Lonchura striata: one gene and its partners. The protein of the gene in region 1 interacts with the protein of each later gene in a pairwise test. Links are inferred from orthologs where the notes say so. Each region holds a gene or a part of one and is shown in the gene's direction. Other genes may lie near its edges. The genes, in order: ARHGEF7, GIT1 and SH2D1A.

Evidence for each region.
Region 2: the proteins of ARHGEF7 (region 1) and GIT1 interact in binary tests that used the Homo sapiens proteins (3 or more experiments, as listed by UniProt). The link is inferred for Lonchura striata from reciprocal best matches to the Homo sapiens genes ARHGEF7 and GIT1.
Region 3: the proteins of ARHGEF7 (region 1) and SH2D1A interact in binary tests that used the Homo sapiens proteins (3 or more experiments, as listed by UniProt). The link is inferred for Lonchura striata from reciprocal best matches to the Homo sapiens genes ARHGEF7 and SH2D1A.

What each region holds. Positions count from the first base shown.
Region 1 is NC_134604.1:92,627,477-92,633,950, reverse strand, and holds the start of ARHGEF7 (rho guanine nucleotide exchange factor 7), read left to right. Parts: upstream 1-1,977; 5' UTR 1,978-2,111; coding exon 2,112-2,276; intron 2,277-6,474. UniProt on the Homo sapiens protein: Acts as a RAC1 guanine nucleotide exchange factor (GEF) and can induce membrane ruffling. Functions in cell migration, attachment and cell spreading. Promotes targeting of RAC1 to focal adhesions. May function as a positive regulator of apoptosis.
Region 2 is NC_134622.1:7,765,609-7,772,082, reverse strand, and holds the start of GIT1 (ARF GTPase-activating protein GIT1), read left to right. Parts: upstream 1-2,303; 5' UTR 2,304-2,357; coding exon 2,358-2,409; intron 2,410-5,268; coding exon 5,269-5,402; intron 5,403-5,486; coding exon 5,487-5,599; intron 5,600-5,682; coding exon 5,683-5,788; intron 5,789-5,863; coding exon 5,864-5,950; intron 5,951-6,059; coding exon 6,060-6,190; intron 6,191-6,267; coding exon 6,268-6,362; intron 6,363-6,442; coding exon 6,443-6,474. UniProt on the Homo sapiens protein: GTPase-activating protein for ADP ribosylation factor family members, including ARF1.
Region 3 is NC_134616.1:9,953,554-9,960,027, forward strand, and holds the start of SH2D1A (SH2 domain-containing protein 1A), read left to right. Parts: upstream 1-2,406; coding exon 2,407-2,543; intron 2,544-6,474.

The sequences.
Region 1 (6,474 bases):
AGAATAAAACAAGGGAGCTGTGCAGAGAGTTCAGGTGCTTTGCAGTAAATACCTGGTAGGGGAAAGTCTGACAAGAAAGGAATATAGGCAGGGAGTGGCATGCTCCTAAATCTTTTGGGCACTTTAATTTTTTTCCTTTAAAGATCTTGAAATGGTTTCCTGACCTGTGTCAAGCTTCTTTTAGAAGTCTCCAAGCAATCTATCCACATGGCTTTCCAATGGCAAAGAACTGCCATGTTTGTGTTCTTCATAGCTGACAAATCATTGGATCAGAAGCTGTTGTTCAAAATAGATATGGAAGACAGTACAGTTAAGTGCAGAAGAATGATGAGGAGATAGGTGATGAATGTCAGTGATAACCCAGATATTGCTTATCATGAAACCCTTTATGCTTTGCTAAGATCACTATTCTGTGTTGTAATATATGGTTATTTCCATTGTCTTTGGATGGGTTTTCCCACAACATGTCTTGTATCATGTTCTCTGCTATAATCAGCCATGCACTTTTCACCTCGTTCATGTACCCATCACATCTCTCATATAAAAAGTTTCATAAACTCATGCCCATAGTTTTCTATCATGGGCCAGTGCCAGGGAGGTCCCCACTTGCTGCTCATCTTGCTCGGGAAGCTACTGGGGTACCCCTGCTGGGGATGCTGATGTAATGAGCACCTGACCATTGCTGTGTGCATTGTACTTGTTTATCCCATCCTGCTTGAATCCGGGTGGGCATTAATACTGACAGAGGCAAGTCTGCTGCTCTCACCTCGACCAAAAAGCAAGGGGCAAAACAAAAAACAAATTTTGGAAGAGGTATCTACCTGAAATGTGAAATTTAAGAATTTAAGAAAATCTGCACCTATTATGGGTTAGGAGGAGATTGAGTGTTGAAATTAGATTATCTTGTACCAAATTGAAATGCACCTCTGTCTTTCTGGGCTGGCTGGTGATTTGGTAGGAGATTCTGGGTCAAAAGAACCTACCAGAGCTGCTGCTCAGGGACTGTGATGGTGGTGGATGCAGTACGCCAGGCTGGAAGCAGAACAGCAGCGATGAGTTTGGGTTGGCATTGTTGCCTCTGCCTTTGCCTTTTGGAGTAGGCATTTTGCCCCTCAAGGGCGTCAGATGGGGCGAGAAGGGAAAGCAGGGGCTGTGGTGGTATCGCCTCTCCTGGCGTGTGCGAGGCTGATGGCAACAGAGGGACCCTGGGAGCCCACAGCAGCCAGCTCCTAACAAAAAAGAAAATACTGATTGCTCATAGTGTCCCGTCCAAGCAAATCCTTGAGGAACGGCTTTTGTCAGAATAAAAGGCACAGGAGGGCTCTGTTTCAGGTTAGTCTTCACAGTCCTTCTGTGTAGAGTATTTACGCTGGCTTCCCAGGCGGTGCCGCAGACCATCGGGGGGGAAGCTGGCGGGAGGCGCTCGGGGATGGAGCATCCCAGCAGGCGCACGGCGGGGATGGCGCGCACCGGGGCGAGCCCGCGACCCGGCCGCTGGCCCGAGGCTGCAAACGGGTTTCCTTGCAAGGGAACGACGGGCAAAGGCAGAGATCGCGTTACTGCGGCCGGTCGGGCCGGCGCCCGCTGCCGGCGCTCCCAGAGGGAGATGGTCCGAAACCAGTCTCCCGGAGCCTGGCGCCGAAGGCTTGAGGGGGTTCGTTCTCTGCGCGACGGCGCCGTCCGAGGAGGAGATGAGGGGCCGGGGGATCCCGCAACTTTTCCCCGCGGCCGGCGGTGCCCGGCGGCTCCCGCTCCCGCCTCGCTGCGCGCCCGCGGAGGCGCCGCCCGCCCGCTAGGGGGCGCGCGCCGGCCGCCGCTCGGCGCGCGCAGCGGGCGCGGAGCGGTGCGCGGGGCTCCGCGGGCGCGCGGCCCCGCCGCCGCCGCTGCCAGTGATGTCATGGGGCGGCGGCGGCGGCGGCGGCGGCGGCGGGGGGGCGGGGAGGAGGCGGCACTGCAGCTGCATGTGTCTGTAGCGGCGGGGCCGGGGCGTCGTCATCTGCATTCACATGGGGGCGGCGCCGCCGGCCTCCGCCTGAAGCCCCCGCCGGGGGACACACAAAACCCACGCGAGGCGCGGGGCGCCGCGACCCCCGCCCGCCGCCGCCATCGCCATGAATTCGGCGGAGCAGACCGTTACGTGGCTGATCGCCCTGGGCGTGCTGGAGTCGCCCAAAAAGACCATCTCCGACCCCGAGGGCTTCCTTCAGTCCTCCCTGAAGGATGGCGTGGTGCTGTGCCGCCTGCTCGACCGCCTGCTCCCGGGCACCATAGACAAAGTAAGTGCCCGGCGGCCCCCGCCCCGCCGCCCTTTGTGCGGCCGGGCCCGCCGCCCCCGGCCCCGCCCGCGCCGCCCCCCGCTCCGGAGGGGGACCCCGGGCCCGGGGAGGGCGGTGGGGGGCGCGGGGGGCGGAGCGGGGCCGGTCCCCGGCGGGGGAGAGCGGGGAGCGGCAGCCGGGCTGGAGGGGAACCCCCGTGAGGAGCCACTGTTCTGCAAGTGTTGTACGGACGCTCCGCTTCCCAAAGCGGAGTCCCGGCTGTGCATGGGAGATGCATTAATTTTGGAGGGTGGACTATGGACCCTGCCCTGCGTGCCACGAGCCGGCTGCAAACTTATCTACGCAACTGCTGGAGCAGCCGGTGCCTCACCTCGCTTGGGAGGTGATTCAGCTCATCCCTTCCAGCCTCTGAAGGACATTTTAGCGTTTGATGCTTAGTTTTCTTGAAGGCTGCTTAAGCGTTATTTGGGTCCTTTACTGTTCGGTAGCCTGTGGAAAAAAAATCTCCTTTTTTTTTTTTTTTTTTTTTTTTTTTTTTTTGTGCTGAAAAAACGCGTTACAGCTCTAGTTTGTGTTTTGTTTGAAGAAAATGTACTCTGTCAGGTAACTTCTATGTGTTCTGTGTGCGTACATAATTCCCGTCGTCGCTCAGCCAGAGGGAAAAGACAACCAAAGGGGTTTGGTTGTGCCTCAAAACTTGGGACAGTACTGTTGTCTCACCTGATGTTTAGTAACATAGTGCACACAGAGATCCACATATTGACAAAAATCTTTCCTCGTGTGCCAGTCTAAGGTAGTGAAGATTGATGAAGGTCATCTGCTATGATGATGGGATGACTCCTTGCTTGAAAATAACACCGTATTTTTCACCTTTTGCAGAACAGTTGGCAGAGCATTCCACTCGCTGGAGCCTGCTGACAGTGAGCTTTTGTTACCTTTTGTGGCTCTATTTCGAGTAGTTCTCAGACCCACAAAGTTGTAACCAGCGCCTTGAGCTTAGCAGGACACTGGGCTGGGCTGTCCCACTTCGGTTCTTCAGTTTGCCACCCACTGGAGTTGTTATTGTTTTGTGTTGTACATGAAGGTCTTGGCTCTGGACTGGAGTCCCATTCTGCGGATTTAGTAGATCATTCCTGCCTCCCAGATTCACAGGTACATCAGGAGGTGGTACGGGGATGTGGACTCCTCACAGGAGCCCGCAGTGCTCTTGGCGGGTGATGGAAGTGATGAGAGCGGGCACAGTGTGTTGGTGGCTGTGTGAGCGTGGCTAACTCAAGGATCACCATGGTGGCCAGTGGGGACTAGCTGGGACAGCTGAAGCCCCTGCCACTGCTGCTGTCAGCTTTCCCCGCCACCATTTCCCCGTAAGTGGCTGTTCAGGCAGTAGAGCTGAAGAGGATGCCCCTGCTCCTAAAGGGGCTGCAGCTTTGTGGAGGTGGTACATGAGGTGCAAACTGTTGTCCAGTGCACTGGGCTGCAAAGTAGGGCTCCAGAGCAGGTAAATGTCCTGCTCTGCCATTCAGTAAATGTCCTGTTCTGCAATCCAGGGTGGCACGCGTGACATGGGGCTTGGGGTAAGTGGGGGCTCCTCCACCTGACTATCCACTGATTCTGACAGGCTCCGCCCATGCCTCCTTGTCCCCAGACTCTTTTGCCTGGTGGCACCAAGCCCAAGGAGGGTTTTGGGAGCCTTTCCCACACTGCTGCTCCAGGCACGCTTCCTGAGCACATCTTGGACTTTGGGTTCTTAGCTTTAGGGCAGAAAAGGTCTTTCCCCTTTGTGCAGATGTCAAGCCTGGTAAAGTGGGGTCCTGCACTCAATCTGGGAAAGAGGCTCTACCAATAAACAAAAAAGCAGAACAGAAATAAGTGTTACAAGAGTGTTTCCCAACTTAATGTGTTTCTCTGTTACAGTATAGTTTGGGACAGCTCGGTTATTGAATGAGAGACTCTCTTTTTATCTGAGGACCAAACACCTCTCATGTTTGGGTGGGGGTCCCTTCACAGCACAGAGGAAGGTTTACAGAGGCGCGCAGCTCCGCACAGCCAACAACGAGAGCAGCCTGGGTGCGAGGAGCTGCCGGCGGGACTCGCGGTGGCCCTGGCGCTGCAGCAGCGCGGGGCTCGCAGCGGGAGCAGTGCGGGCTGGGCTGGCAGCCAGGCGGGAGGAAGGCTGGCGCCTCGCAGCCTCCCACCTCCCCGAGCTCGCCCCGCGCCGAGCAGGGCGCTGGGACAGGCGGCCGCCCCGGCGTCCCTGCTGCCCCTGTGTGTTTCCTCTGGCTCTGACTTAGTTATAAGTCTGGGGAGAAATAGACATTTTAAAAAATTATTTTAGGAGGATCTTTGGTTTTGTAAGGGTAACTGTTCTTATTTCCCTGGACCATTCACAAAGCACTTTCTAATTCATAGATATGTCTGAGAGACTCACAAACTCATTTTTCCACCTAACTTTGTAAATATTCTTTTTCTGTAGACTCAGAATTTACACCCCATACCTCTTTCACGTTCTCATCTATGTTATGTCTGAGCTGTTTCCGTGTTACTTTATTCTCTTTCTTTGTTTGTTAGTAAACAGACATAAATTTTACATCCTTTATTGTGCCATGGTAGTTTTTCCAAGTCTTTTTGGCTACTACTCTTTGTTACTTTTTTAATACTAAGTGCATTTGAAATATGAGCCTTTTTATTCCTTATTTGCCCCGAAAATCTCCAGTTTAAGTTTAAAAGATACAAGGATGTCTGACAGATGTAGACTGATTCAGTTCTTAAAATCCTTTGAGATTGTAACTTTCTATAAATATCTGACATTAGCAGATACTCTGAAGACTCACAGAGCTCATTTTTCTGTAAATACAAAATAGTAACTAAAACCAAAGGGAATATTAAAAAAAATACAAAACATAAATATGAAGGAATGTCTATCTACTTGGGGTGCTTTTAAATAGGTTTTCTAAAAAAATGCTATAAATGTATTTCTTTCTTTCAAAAACAGATTAGAAAGAAGATTCAATATATGCAGGAATGTAGTAATACATTTTTTGACATTTTGTGCTTTTTAAAGCCTCTGGGTACCCTGAGAGTAAGTAGTAGGAGATTTTTAATAAATAAAGATTGTGCGACCATAAAAGGAATCAAGCACTTGAAGGTCAAAGAACAGAATTTTCATAAGTTGATAAAACAAATCAGTGGGTTTCAAAGCTGGTTAGTATATTCTTTCTTTAGGTTGTTGTGTATTTGTATACCAGCATTGCACAGAACAACACACAAAGCTTCTTGCCAGGAAGTTTTGGTTGAATTTGTTTACATTATAATAATTTTCTATCTTGAATGGGAAAGGACAGATAATAAATTCACTAGATTTCTCTAAGTCAGAGTGAAAATACCTTGAAAAGTAATGTTGTTACAGACTGCTGCTTAGTTTTGGACTCTTACTTAATGTCATAATGATTCCTTTGCATTTTGAAAGAGACCATGACGGGGCAAAACAAAATAGTTGAGTTAGGCAGTGTGGTGGCACTGCACAATAACCTTGTCCTGAACACAGGAAATGAAGAAAAGTGAGGGCAATTATTCAATTATTTAAAAAAAAAAAAAAAAAAAAAGCAGCAAAATCAACAAAACCAAAACAGCTTCCCCAACCCTGTCCAAACCCAGCCATGTCTTAGTTTTTTAAAGCATGAAGATCTGTGCTGAAACATGGTTAGTTGATTTGCTCCAAAAGATAGGGAATTGCTGAATTTAAATAATTTGAATTGAAAAGCCATAATTTCAAGTTAGAGGATTTCAGCCTTGTGTGGTAGAGCTGAATTACTTTGATGGCAGGGAAGGGATCCCCATGGAAGCATTGCAGTGCAGTTGTCTGCCGCTTAGATGCTTTTCCTCTCAGAGATCATTTTCCAAACAGATTCCTCCATCGCAGACCAGTTTGACCCACTTTCAACGTTGTAAACAGAGATCAGAATTGGAGCGGGAATTTTCCTTGTCATATGAGGCTTCGCGCTCCATTAAGTTCCGTTTGTACTTTTATTTTTGGTCAGCTGCTCGTCAGAAAGCGTCCTTTTGAGGACAGCTTTGTTCTTTTTTGGGGGAAATGCAGAGGCCGCATCGGGGAACGTGATGCAGCAGCCGTTTGACACCCCGTGGCGCGCCGCTCCCGCGGGGCGCGGCGGCAGCTGGCTCGGCGCTGTGCGGCCGCGGA
Region 2 (6,474 bases), on another chromosome or scaffold:
CCCCGACAGCATCAGGGCCCTTGTCCCCCCGCCCCCAGGGGCTCAGCCTGAGGGTGCGGAGCTGATGCTGCACCCCCAGGGGGCTGGCAATACCCTGAGAAGCGGGGTGCGGGCCGGGGGTCTGCAGAGGCCTAGCAGGGAGCCGGGGACACGTGCGGAGGGCTGCTCGGGGCTGCGTGTGCTGGAGGATGCAGGGGACCCGCGGGTGGCACCCACCGCTCCCTGGCAGCCCCGGGGACAGCGGGCACAGTCCCGGGGTGCGGGTGGGGACACACAGCGCACCCCCAGAGCCCCGCCAGCGCAGAGAGCGACCCCATCCTTATCACCCCCCTCATCTCCATCCTCATCCTCACCCCGGCCCCGAGCATTGCATCAGCCCGAGCGGAGCCGGGCCGGGCCGGGCCGTGCCGGGAGTGTCCCCGCGCCGCCCCACCTGCTTGGCGCTGAGCTCCCGGTCCAGGTCACGGGCGCGGTTGTGCCAGACGAGGTAGTGCAGCGGGTACCTGCCCTCCGGCCCCTTCCTGCCCGAGCAAGACGCGAGCATCCTCCGTGCATGCTGGAGCGGCGCGGCGGGCGCGGCGCGGGGCGGCGCGGCGCGGGGCGGGGGGGCGCGGGGCGGGGCGGGCCACCACCTCCCGCCCGGTGCTTCCCCGGCCCCCCCGCACCGCCCGGCCTCATGGGACTTGTAGTTGCCCTGCCCGGCATCGCCCCCTTCTCCTTCCTCATCTTCATCCTCCTCTTTCCTCGCCCCCCCCTCCCGCACCGCTCAGTCCATCACCGCGGCTTCCGATCCCGCGGGGGGGACCTGCGAAGGGGCGCCCCATTGGCGATTAGCATCCTCCCCACATTGCCCCCTTTCCCAGGCTGATCTTCCCCTTCCCAGCTGATCTCCGCTCCCCCGGTGGGGCAGCGGACCCGGGCATATGGTGGGGCAGGGGTGAAGGCGGCAGGTGGGGACCAGGTGGGGGGACCCCGACTCCCGGCCCCGCAGCACCAGGCACGGGGGCCCCAGCCCCGTTTCCTTTTCCGCCCGCGTCTCTCCCGGGCGGGCGTCGCGTTTTCCGGCTGCCGCCCGAGAACAATGCAAGGCTGGGCCTCTGCGGCCGCCCCGGCCTCCGCCGGCGCCACGCTCCCGGCCCCGCACCCCGCTGCTCCCCACCCTGCCATGGGAGGAGCCCCCCGCTGTTGTTCTCTGCTCGGCCGTGGCGGTGGTCGCATCCCCCCGCCCCTGTCCCCGCACAGCATCCCCCGTCCCCGCTGCCCCATGATGTCGTGAGCAGCCCGCGGTGAGGCCACCCCGCCTGCCCCACGGCGGGGGGACACCATGCGACCCCGCTCCTGCTGGGGTCTGACCCCCCCGGCTGGCTGTGGGGCACCCATCGGTGTCCCCTCTGGTACCTAAAGGGTCGCAGGAGGGAGCAGACCCCATACAGTCCCCAGTCCTCCCCACCCACCCCCAAAATCCCCAGTGGAGCACCATAAAGGGGTGTGTGGCCCAACCCAGTGTCCTGGAGAAGGGGTGTGTCCGGGAGTGGGGTACACAGCGTCAGAGGTGGCATGGGGAAGAGGGCTGGGGCTGCCCCAGGACTGCGGCTGGATCCAGAACAAGTGTCCAGAGCAGGACTGCAGCAATTTGGGGGTGCCCTGGGCTGGGACTGGGGGTACACGGGACCCGGTACAGGAATGAGATCAGTGCCACCCCTCCAGGATAAACAGGACAAGGGCGGGGAGGAGGACCAGGACAAAATGAAAATGGGACCGGGAGTGCACCGAGGACGGGCACGGGGTCAGGGCTAGGGGATGCCCGGGATCAGAGCAAGGGCAGTGCTGACGCCCAGGAGCAGGTGAGGTGCCCCGGTCCGGGACCGGGCTGTCCGGGGGGCGTTTGCAGGTGCGGGTGCGGGTCGGGGGCGGCGCCGGTGCGGGTGTGTGCAGCGGTGCCGGTGTCCGCACGAATTCTTGTGCGCGTCCGGGTCCGTGTGCGGGGCGGGGGCGGTCCCGGTGCGTGTCCCGGTGCGGGGCGGTGCCGGCGCCGGTGCGGGTTCGGGTGCGGCTGCGAGTGCGGGGCGGTGCCGGTGCCGGTGCGGGGCGGCCGCGGCGGCGCTGCCGGTGGCGGGGCGGGGGCGGTGCGGCCCCTCCTCCGCCGGGGCCGGGCCTGCGCCGCTTCCTGCGGAGCCGCCGGGCGCTGGGAGCAGCCGGCAGCCCCCGGCCCCGCCGCCCGGGCCCCGCCGCCCCCTCCCCGCTGCCCGGCCCCCCCCACCCCTTCCCCGCCGCCGCTCCCCCGGCGGGCCCGGGGGCGCCGCCGCCGCCCCACGCTGGCGCAGAGGCCCGGGCCCGGGCCCGCCTCGCCGCTGAGGATGTCCCGGAAGGCGCCGCGGGCAGAGGTGTGCGCCGACTGCAGCGCCCCAGGTAAGGGCCCCCCCGCATCGGCACCGGCACGGCCCCGCCAGCCCCCCCGCGCCTCCTGCTGCCCCCCGGAGCCTGCCCTGCGCTCCCCCCGCGCCGCCGAGAGCCCCCGGGGCGGCCCCGCAGCCCCGCCAGCCCCCGCTGCACCCCGGGGTGCTTGCCCCCGGACTGCTCCCCGTGACCCCTTTTGCATCTCCTTCTACACCCCACATCGAGACCCCTTTGCACCTCCCTGAGTGCCCCCAGGGTCGCCCTGGTGATTCCTTTCTGCGCCCCACTCTGCGCACCCGAGGGAGCCCCATGGAGTCCCCCTCCTTCCCCCCAGGAGCCCTCTGATGTGCCCCCAGTGAAACGCTTTGATGAAACCCATGACCCCGTTGGTGCACCCCCTTTTAGCCTCCTGGAATGCCCGAATACACCCGAGACGCAGCCCCGATACCCCCGCATGCCCTCCTCCGTGCCGCTCCAGCGCGCCCCGTGTGCCCCACGCCCCCCTGCACCACCCACGGCGTTCTCACCCCAGCGCGGGGGCTGCTGGCACAGGCTGGGGGCGCGCCGGTCGGTGCCAGCAGCGCTGGTGACCCTGTAAATGGCAGGATGATGGGGGACACCCTGCACCCCACAGCCGGCACCCACCCCAGCCGGATCCGGGCTTGGCGGTGCCGGTTGGGTGAGCCCGGCGGCCGCCGCGCTGCAAGCCGGAGCCGAGCCTGGGCAAGACCATTCCCATCCCCGGCGGTGCCCGTGCCCACAGCCCCCACGCTGGGCACGCGCGGAGGGTTTGGCCCCCCAAACCCTGCCCACGGTAGGGCCGGACCCCAAACCTGCCCGTAGCCGGTGCAGGTGGCCCCACGGCAATGAATGAACGGGTCTCCGAGCCGGCCCCGGAAAGCTGCCCGCGGGCCAAGGCTGTGCCGAAATTATTCCGGCCACGTGCCAATGGCCGGATCCTGCCAGGAGAGCTGTCGGCACGCGTGGGCGAAAGGCTGCCCTGCCTCCTGGCATCCCCCGTGCCGGCGGGCGAGCGGGGGGCCAGGGGTTCCCGGGGCGGTGCCGGGGCTCCCTTCTGCGGCCAGGGGAAATGGAAACCAGTCTCTTCCAATCTCTTATCGCCTGGCAGCCATGGGAGGAAATGAGTTATAAAGTCCAGAGGCCGTTTCCTAGCGCGCTGGGAGCACCCGCTGTCGCTGCCGGGGATGCGCTGCCTGGCCCTGCGTGGGGAGGTGCCCGTGGGATGCGCTGGTCCCTGTGCCCGGCCTCCCTCGGCCCCACGCAGGGATGCCGGCTGGCCCCAGCCCTGCCATCGCCAGTGCGGGGCCGAGCGCTGGCGGTCCCGGTGCCAGCGCACATCCCGATGCGGGGATCGAGGTGCTGCGAGCTCCCTTGGACTCCAGGATCCTGCCAGGGTTTGGAGTGTCCCTGTGCGAGCACTCCACGATCTGCTGCAGTGCCCGCCCGCATCCCACCACATCCCAGCGGTTTTAGGGTGGGAGGGGCTGTTGCCCCAGGGATATTCTGGATCCACCCGCTTGGAGGGGCCGGCTCCCCCCGCACGGAGCGTCCTGTTCCCGGCGGTGGCCGTGGGCAGCGGGTGCGAAGGCGCAGATGCCGCCGCACCGGCTGCCAAGGCGCTGCCATCTGCGTGCGAGGGGCTGCCAGGCTGGGGGGGCCACCGCTCCCCCCGGGCCACCCCACCCCGGCCCCGGGGCACTGCAGCATGGCAGGATGCCGTGCCCCCCAGCACGGTGTCCTCAGGGCTCTGGGGGGGTGCGTGGGGAGGGGTCCGGGACCCTGCAGGGAGGAAGGAAGTGGGGGAGGCTTGGCTGCTTGCCTGCCTTCCTCTCTCTGTGAGGTCGTGGGGCCACTGGGGGCTCAGGGCCATCGGGCAGGTCAGTGTGGTCACCTCCCCAGGCCCTGTATCCCCGGGCGTGGGGCTGCCCCCCGCCGTGGGACAGTGTGGCGTTTGTGTAGGACCTACAGAAACGAGGGGATGGGGTGGGGCTGGGCAGAGGGTGGCAGGACTGCCCCGTCGTGCCTGGCGGAGGGGACACCTGGGAACGATTCAGCGATTCAGCATCCGTGCCTGGCTGCCTTTCCCGGGGGGGAGAGGGGCTGTGACCCAGCGGGGGTCCCCAAATCCTGTCCTCATGCTGCTGTGAACAGCTGCAGCTCAACGGCCACACCACGGGGCCAGGCCCCCTCGTCCCCAGGACCTGTTTTTGGGGTGCAGGCGTGGGGAGCCGCTGCCTGGCCGGGAGCGGTGCCCCCGCGGGTGCCGGGGCTGGTGCCAGCGCGGGGCCAGCGCGGCTGCTCAAACGATCCTTTGTTCCCAGCGGGGACACAAAGGGCTCCAGTCCAGCCGGCCGGGGCCAGCGGCGGGGCTGGAGGGGCACGGCAGCCTGGGGGGCCATGGCACCTGCCCCGGGGCTGGGGTGTCCTGTGGGCTGGCTGCGCTGCGGAGCTGAGGGTGCAGAGCTGGTGACCACCCTACCTAGGAGCCCATGGACTGGGGGTGCCCACCCCTTGTGGGACACACTGCCCCCATCCAGGACCCCCCAACACCCAGCCAGGGGCTCCGGGGGTGAGTGACCTCGCAGTGAGCCAGGGTGCCCCTGATCAGAGTGTGCTGGCATCATCCCTGCCACCAGCTGTCCTCCTGATGGTGGGGGGCCAAACCCTGCCCCCCTTTTGGCTGGCGGTTGCTATGGGAAACCCGTGGGTTTCCCCTGGTGATGGGCCGAGCCCCTCTCCATCTCCCGGGAAATGGTTGCTGTGGCAACGCATCCCCCCTGCTGGATGGATGCATGAGGAGGGGACCGCACGGGGAGGGGACACCCGCTGACACCCCCATGCCACCCCCAGACCCTGGCTGGGCGTCGATCAACCGCGGGGTGCTCATCTGCGACGAGTGCTGCAGCGTGCACCGCAGCCTGGGCCGCCACATCTCCATCGTCAAGCACCTGCGCCACAGCCCCTGGCCCGCCACCCTGCTCCAGGTGGGTGCTGGGGACACTGGAACGGGGGGAGATGCGCACTGGGACCCCCCCCCCCGCCCACTGGGCCCTGCCTGTCCCCTGCAGATGGTGCACACCTTGGCGAGCAACGGGGCCAACTCCATCTGGGAGCACTCGCTGCTGGATCCAGCGCAGGTGCAGAGCGGGCGCCGGAAGGCAAACCCCCAGGACAAAGTGCAGTAAGTGTCCCCTGTGCTGTGGGGAGGGGGTCAGCACTGGCTGCAAGCCCCCTCCTCACCCAAAACCCACTGCTCACACCCAGCCCCACCAAGTCGGAGTTCATCCGTGCCAAGTACCAGATGCTGGCCTTCGTCCACAAGCTGCCCTGCCGGGATGATGACGGTGTCACTGCCAAGGACCTCAGCAAGGTGGAGTGGCGGCTCAGGGACCCCCACTATGGCAGTGAGGACAGATCCCCCCATTACCAGCTCTCTCCTCTGCAGCAATTGCACTCGAGCGTGCGGACGGGTAACCTGGAGACCTGCTTGCGCCTGCTCTCGCTGGGTGCCCAGGCCAACTTCTTCCACCCGGTGAGCTCTGGTGGGGCCCAGGGACCCCAGAGGTGGAGTGGGGCCCAGGGGGGTCCTGGAGCCTCACGCCACGTGCAGGCTGCAGGGCTGAGGCTGCCCATGCCCGCAGGAGAAGGGCACCACACCGCTACACGTGGCCGCCAAGGCCGGGCAGATCCTGCAGGCAGAGCTGCTGGTGGTCTACGGTGCCGACCCTGGGGCGCCCGATGTGAACGGCCGGACGCCCATTGACTATGCCAGGTGAGGGCAGGGAAGGGGGTGACCCCTGCCTGCACCCCCACCTAGGGTGGGCATCACCCCTGCCGGCCCTCCCACAGGCAGGCAGCCCAGCACGAGCTGGCGGAGCGGCTGGTGGAGTGCCAGTACGAGCTGACCGACCGGCTGGCCTTCTACCTCTGCGGCAGGAAGCCGGGTGAGAGAGGGGGTCCTGGGGTGAGGGGGTCACCCTGGAGGGAGCACGTGGCCCTGCTCACCACCCCTCTCTTTGTGCAGACCACAAGAACGGGCACTACATCATCCCGCAG
Region 3 (6,474 bases), on another chromosome or scaffold:
CAAAGTTACAGTCAGGCATCTTTAGGGAGGGGTGGGCTTCTGTGCTTGTAGCTTCTTTGTACAGTTTTTGCTATAATGGGCAAAACTGCTTCATAACAATGTTTAAGGCATGAACCATTTCAGTCCCTGACAGGTACCTCAATGTTACTGTCCCTTGTTCCCAAACACAGGATTTCCAGGATTTCTTAAAAGCTGCAATTCCCCTAGTCAGTGGGGCCGTAAAGGGACTTGTATGGAAGCCTGGGGTTGAGATTCAGTAGCTGGACTTTTATAGATTTCTTAACCAGACTAGCAAAGTTGTGTGTTTACAGCTGTTTTACAGTAATAGATGCTTCTTCATCCAAGTGCTGGAGAATGCAGGTTGGCTGGGTGAGGCGGTGACTCCACATTAGCAGAGGAACTCACAGTGAAAAGTTTTATGATTTTCTTTAGTTGAAATCTAATGAGTGGGACAATTAAATTTGCAGAATTAAATAATTCTGGCTGGTTTTCCTCTCCAGCTAATTACACACATACTTTTTCTGAAATCAGCTATTAATATTGAGAATAGGTTAAGAAATGGGAAAGTTGGATGAAATCCCCAAGAGCACAGGTAGTTTGGAAATAGGCAGCAGCTTTACAGCTTGTTGCTGTCCACATTAATCAGATTTGCAGTAGGCAGCAGCTACTTTATGTGCAAATACTTTAACAACTGGTTTAAAAACACCAAGCAGGATGTCTGAGTCCCCAGATTCACGTAAAGGGGGTAATGAATACCTGCATAATGAGATAGAAAGACCATAAACTCGGTGGTGGGAGTTTTCAGTCTCTCTTCAGCTGACATTTCTGCAGCTTTCTCAGCCTCTCAGTGCCAGCCAAGGAGGCAGTCACTTGCCAAGGTCTCCCTGTGGGGAAAGAGGCTCTTGGTCTTCAAACGCTGCAGCTTTGCCATCAGTGACTTTGTGCAGTGCCCCATGCACGAGCTACCCTGTGACTCTGGGATCAGAAATACCCATCCCTCAAAAGGAAAAACTAAAGCTAGTTTGAAAAAAAATATTTCCAAGGAAAAACTATATTGAAGATCAAAAAGTAAAGACATTGCACTGTTAAATGGTTGAGAGAAAAGACTTTGATTGAAGTTTAAAAAGAGCGGCCATTATTTTTGCTATTTTTAAATTTCATTTCTCTTCCTGAACTGTGTCTATTTTAAAAGCTATTTTTTCATGTATCCTTAACTTCAACAAGGACACAGCATCTGCGAGCACCTGGATGAGATTATTTCATTCTGTCCTGTCCTGCTACTAAACTCAATTTAAAAGCAATCAATCATAACCACAACCTATACTTATTGCTATATTTAAGTGACTTCTTGCTCACACACACAGGTGTGGGAAGGTGGCTCTTCAAGAGAGGGTGCCAGCCTCATGCCAGGGAAGAATTTAGCCCTGAGCTTGCTGCAGGCCCATGGAAATATGCTCAGTTCTTCCATGGGTGGAAATATCTGTGGGGTGGAAACATCTGTGGGGCACATTAAAGCACATTGACAGCTTGTTTGCAAACAGCTGTGCATGTGCGTGTGGGAGCATTCAGTTGGCAAGTACTGAGGAATTGTCTTCAGTCACAGCAGGTGAAGAGAAATGGCTCTTTCAGACATGGCTCGGGATTTTGGATGCCAGTTCATGCCCCACATGAAGGCAGCATTGGCACCAGTGGCATCTGGGAAGATGTGAGGGGTCTCCTTGTGTGTGCAAAGAGAAGTGACCACCGTGACATTAACAGTGCTTAAACAGCACCAAAGCCTTTGAAAGCAGCCCCCGAGGTGAATCAGCCGGGGCTGGTGTCTGTGGCACCGCGGCAGCTGGTGCGGAGCTGGGGCTGTGCTGGCACCTGCAGCTCTGGTGAGACAGCGAGCTCAGCTGACTTCCTCTAGCCTCATCCCCGGGGACTGTAAAAACAAGAGGTTAAAAAACCCGAAACAAACCCTCCTTGGAGTAACAATCCTCTCGGGTTAGCAGCAGGAGAGGGAAGCGCCTGGCGCAGCCGCTGGCAGCAGCGCCCGGTCCTGCCCTCGCCGTCCCAGCCACGGCCCCGGCCATCGCGCCTCAGCGGCGCCGTCCCGCCGAGCAGCGCCACATGGCCAGAGTGGGTGTGAATGACACCTCCGAGGCGAGCTCTGAGGGCGCGAGAGCCGTGCAGCCTACGCAAAAGGAAGGCAGAAAGGGGAACAGGAAAAAAACCCACAAAAATTCTGTGCTCGTTCCTCACTCTTCCCTCAGTGCCGTCTCACCCGTGCAGAGGCTTCAGAGGTGTGAACACATCCTGTTTACATCTGCCGGCGAGACGCGGAGGCTGAGGGAGCGCGCGGCTGGGGCGCGCTCGGAGGAAGCGCCAAGCCCGGGAGAACGGCTGCAGCGGGACGGGCCCGGCATGGACACGGTGCCCGTCTACCACGGGGCCATCACCCGAGAGGCTGGGGAGAAGCTGCTGCTGGCGGCGGGCACGGACGGCAGCTACCTGCTGCGGGACAGCGAGAGCATCCCGGGGGTGTACTGCCTCTGCGTGCTGTGAGTGGGGCCGGGAGCGGGCCGGGAGCGGGGCCGCCAGGGCTGCTGAGGGGCAGCTGGCTGCCGACAGGCCCCCCACAACAAAATGTGTTCCAGTGTTACCACCTGCTTACCTGAGTGAGGCTTTCGGCTCCTTCAGGTCAGGATAGAGGTGGGCAATAAGTGGTGTGGGGTCCCACACCAAGCAAAGAGGAGCGGGTTTTGCCTTGCAGAGCCCATGCATCCCACAGACAAAAAGCCATAAAGAGGAAGCAGGCAGGCATATGGGAAGGATAAGCAAGGTGCATGGAGAAATGCCAGGCGACTTGGCTCAGGATGGTGTGTACTGCCTCTTTGTGCTGGTAACCCTCTTGCCTTCTGCCTGTGTCCTTCTGCTTCCCTAGTGTGCTCATGGGTGTGCTCAGCAGCATCCCCGGTCACCCTGTCACTGGGAAAGGTAACACCGAGTGCTGCCATCCAGAATGTGCCTTTGTTCAGGATGCTCTCAGTCCCACAAGCTTGTGGCTTGTCCCACAGGACACGAGGCTTGGAGCAAACTACCTGTAATGGACATAAAATACTGATGGTAACAAACTAGGTGATAATGTTTCATCAAATAAGATGAAAAGGGAGAGATCTGATGGGATGATCTGTCCGAGAGAAGGCAAAGGTTCCCCTGGGAGAGCTGGGGGACTTTATATTCATAGGACCTCATTTTAATGAGGAAACTTAATTACCGTACTGTTGGCAAAATTCTTGGAAGTCCTGGTGACACCGTACTGTTGCATCAGAAAAACAAAGATGACATTTATGCTTGACTTCAGTAGGGGAAGGAACACTAGAGAAAACACTTTTAGGTGCAGCATGAAATCAGCTAACAGAGGGAACTCGGGTACCTGGCAAAAAAGAGGAAGACGGTCCTAAGTCAGGTTTTCCCCAGATCCCATGAATACATTTCTGACAAGATGTAATTAAGCCCTGGGTGAGCATCATTATCTTCCAGTTATAGACCAGTAAATGGAGACATGCAAGAAGGTTATAGCAATCCAAAAATACACAATACGCTTCTCAGGAAAAGTCTTTGTGGCAGAGGATGTATTTTTTCTTCTCTCATGAAATCAGATGAACCAAGTTAGGTGCTCCTGCTAACAAATACCTTAACAGAGAGCTGAAAAATGGGAAATAAGAAGCATCTTAAGTTAAATGAAAATGGAATAGACATAGCAAGACGTGAGGAGTGCTATGATTCCTGTGATGGGAATAGGCAATAAAACCAGAATCTCTTTAAAATAACTATTAGAGGAAATGGGGATATACCAGCCTTACACTCAGAAGTCATTCAGTGCAGGTGAAACACTAAGGCATTAGAGAAAGGGTCAGGAAGAGTGTTACAATGCTGAATAAGACAGAAAATAATAGAATTAGTCCACCATCAGTCTTAATCAGGATGTAGGTACGTAACAAGGTCGTTCAGTAGTACACAATCAGTTGGGATTTTTTGTATACTGGTAGTAATTGATGCCCTTTGAAAGAAATTTAATTAATTTACTAAAATATGGAATATGAGAATAGGAAGAAATTAAAGCATTTCTAACTGTGAAGCTCTGCAGTCTTTGGAGGAAAAGACACTTCAGTAAGAAACAGACCAAATTGCTTCTGAAATTATGGGCCATTCATATCTCCATGGTATGTTGCATTGAAACATATGTATGATAAACAAAAGGGTAAAAGCAAAAAAAATATTAATGGTGAGTGTTCTGAAGGCTCAGAACATAGATCCTTAATAGTTATTCTATAAAAGAAATTTGAAATAGATAAAATCTAAATGAAAAATATTATGATGAGTATGAACTGATACAGAAAGAAAGGTGGCTAAAAAATGGTAGAATTAAGTCTTGGTTCCAATGCTTCTTAACAGTCAGTTCAAATAATTATGTAAGGAAATAGCAGATATGGGAAACAGCATGTCACACAATAACTGTGGAGACAGTTTTTATACCAGGAAAGGATCCCACACTGAGAGCAATGACAGTTTGAAGAACTGTGGGCTATAAACTAGAGAAGTGCTTTGACAGGCAAAGTTTGCCAAAGCAGAGCACTTTAGTGGAGAGACTGGAGGAACAGGAAGGGAAGGTGTGAGAGATGGAGATACGTATTTGGTAGAGAATGCTGAGCCTGGCTTTGGCAAAGGAACCAATGGACATAACCTGTCCAAATTCCAGTCTGAACATCATGGGAACAGATGGAATAGGTGACAAACATGCATGTGCAGGGCAGCTCTGGTAAAAACTGAGGGAAGTGTGCAGTTGCTGTTTTTACTCTCTAAGAAAATTAAAGAAAGAATAAGTATTTATCTGCTTTTTAAAGTACTTCATTCTAAATAAATAATGGAAATTATTAGGAATAACAAAGTTATTCAGCAGTTTACATTGTAGTTCAGAATCCATGCTGAAGATCACTATAAGAATATATTGACATACAAAGATCAGACAAAAGATTAATTTACTAGAAGTAATGAAGTGATCTTTGAAACATGGGGAATAAAGCTGATCAGCCATTAGATATACTGCAATAAGTATCAGAGCTAAACAAAATATTTTGCATGTTTCCAGTGAAAAATTCTACCAGAAGTGTGTATGTTTTATACTGTAGGTAGTGTTTCTATTGCCATTAGAAAACAAAAAGAGAAAACTAGTCCAGTTTTCCAAAATCAAGACATGTTCAGTCTGTCTTCTTTCCCCTCTCCCTCCACTTACCTGGGGAACTAAAACAAACCAAAACAAAGTCCTGCAGCTTCCCAGTTCTAACCCTTTTTAGGGTTCCTTTTTCCGTCAACGGGGAATTACAAGGCACAGTTCTGATGAAAAGAAATATTTATCAAAAGAGCAATTAAGCATATATTTGGATGACAGTGGTGTCATCTGCTTGAATTCACATTAGTGGCTACTCTGCAGTTCCAGCTCTAGGTACTGTAATTGTCAAGCCCTGTGATTTCACTGCATGCTTATGCTCAAACAATGTCTCCTTTCCCCAAGAAACTGCATAAATTTGTAATGCCACAGTCACCACCACATCTTCCTCCTCAAGCACCTCCAAAAAGCCCTGACATATTTTGGCAGGCTTTGAGCCTCTTAAGGCACACAATGAGTACTGCAGTGTTCATGGTCAGGCTCATTCACCTTTTGCTTTTCCAATTAAAAAGTGGAGCCCTGACCTTTAAAAAGGAGAAGAGTCAAAGACTTCATGAATCCCTTGTGACTGATGCTGATTTTACAGGGCAGGCATAAAAGAGACAGGTAGTAGCATAAAACCTGACCTATAGAGGTGGGTAACTGCAGCAGGCAGCACCCTGTTGGAGCATTCATCTAGAAAACTCTGCTTTCTCTCCTCTTTGTTTCTGCTGAGCTACTGATTTATCTCCCTTGAATGCCACTTTCCACTTTCTGAAGCTGAGATGTGCACATGGTGTGCCTGAAAGCCTTCAAAGACACAAATAATATTTTCTTGGTGTGACTGCGACAAAGCACAAAGGACTCACTTTCAAAAATATTTTAAGACCACAATTAAACTATTCATGGAAGAGTAGGAAGGTTTTGATTTGCAATTGTATGCTTGCAAACAGAGGTGCTACTTTCAGATTTTGGCAATGATTTTAATACCAGATGCTCCTGGGTCTTCACTGTATGAATATCATTATTGAATTGATAATATTTACTTTAAGGATGTTGTGAATATGTCAACAGAGGTACACAATCCTTTCCTGGAAACTTTTAGAGTTGCACTGAAAAGCAAGATTTTTGCTGTTCCTGAGAACTGGTCTAGAAGAAATGCATATGGTTTATAAAACATACACGTTATACCCATAAACAAGTTAGACTCTACACACAGTACCACCAGCGTTTTAATATCAAGCCTGATTGTTCCAGGGAGCTTTCTTTACTGGTCTGGTTTC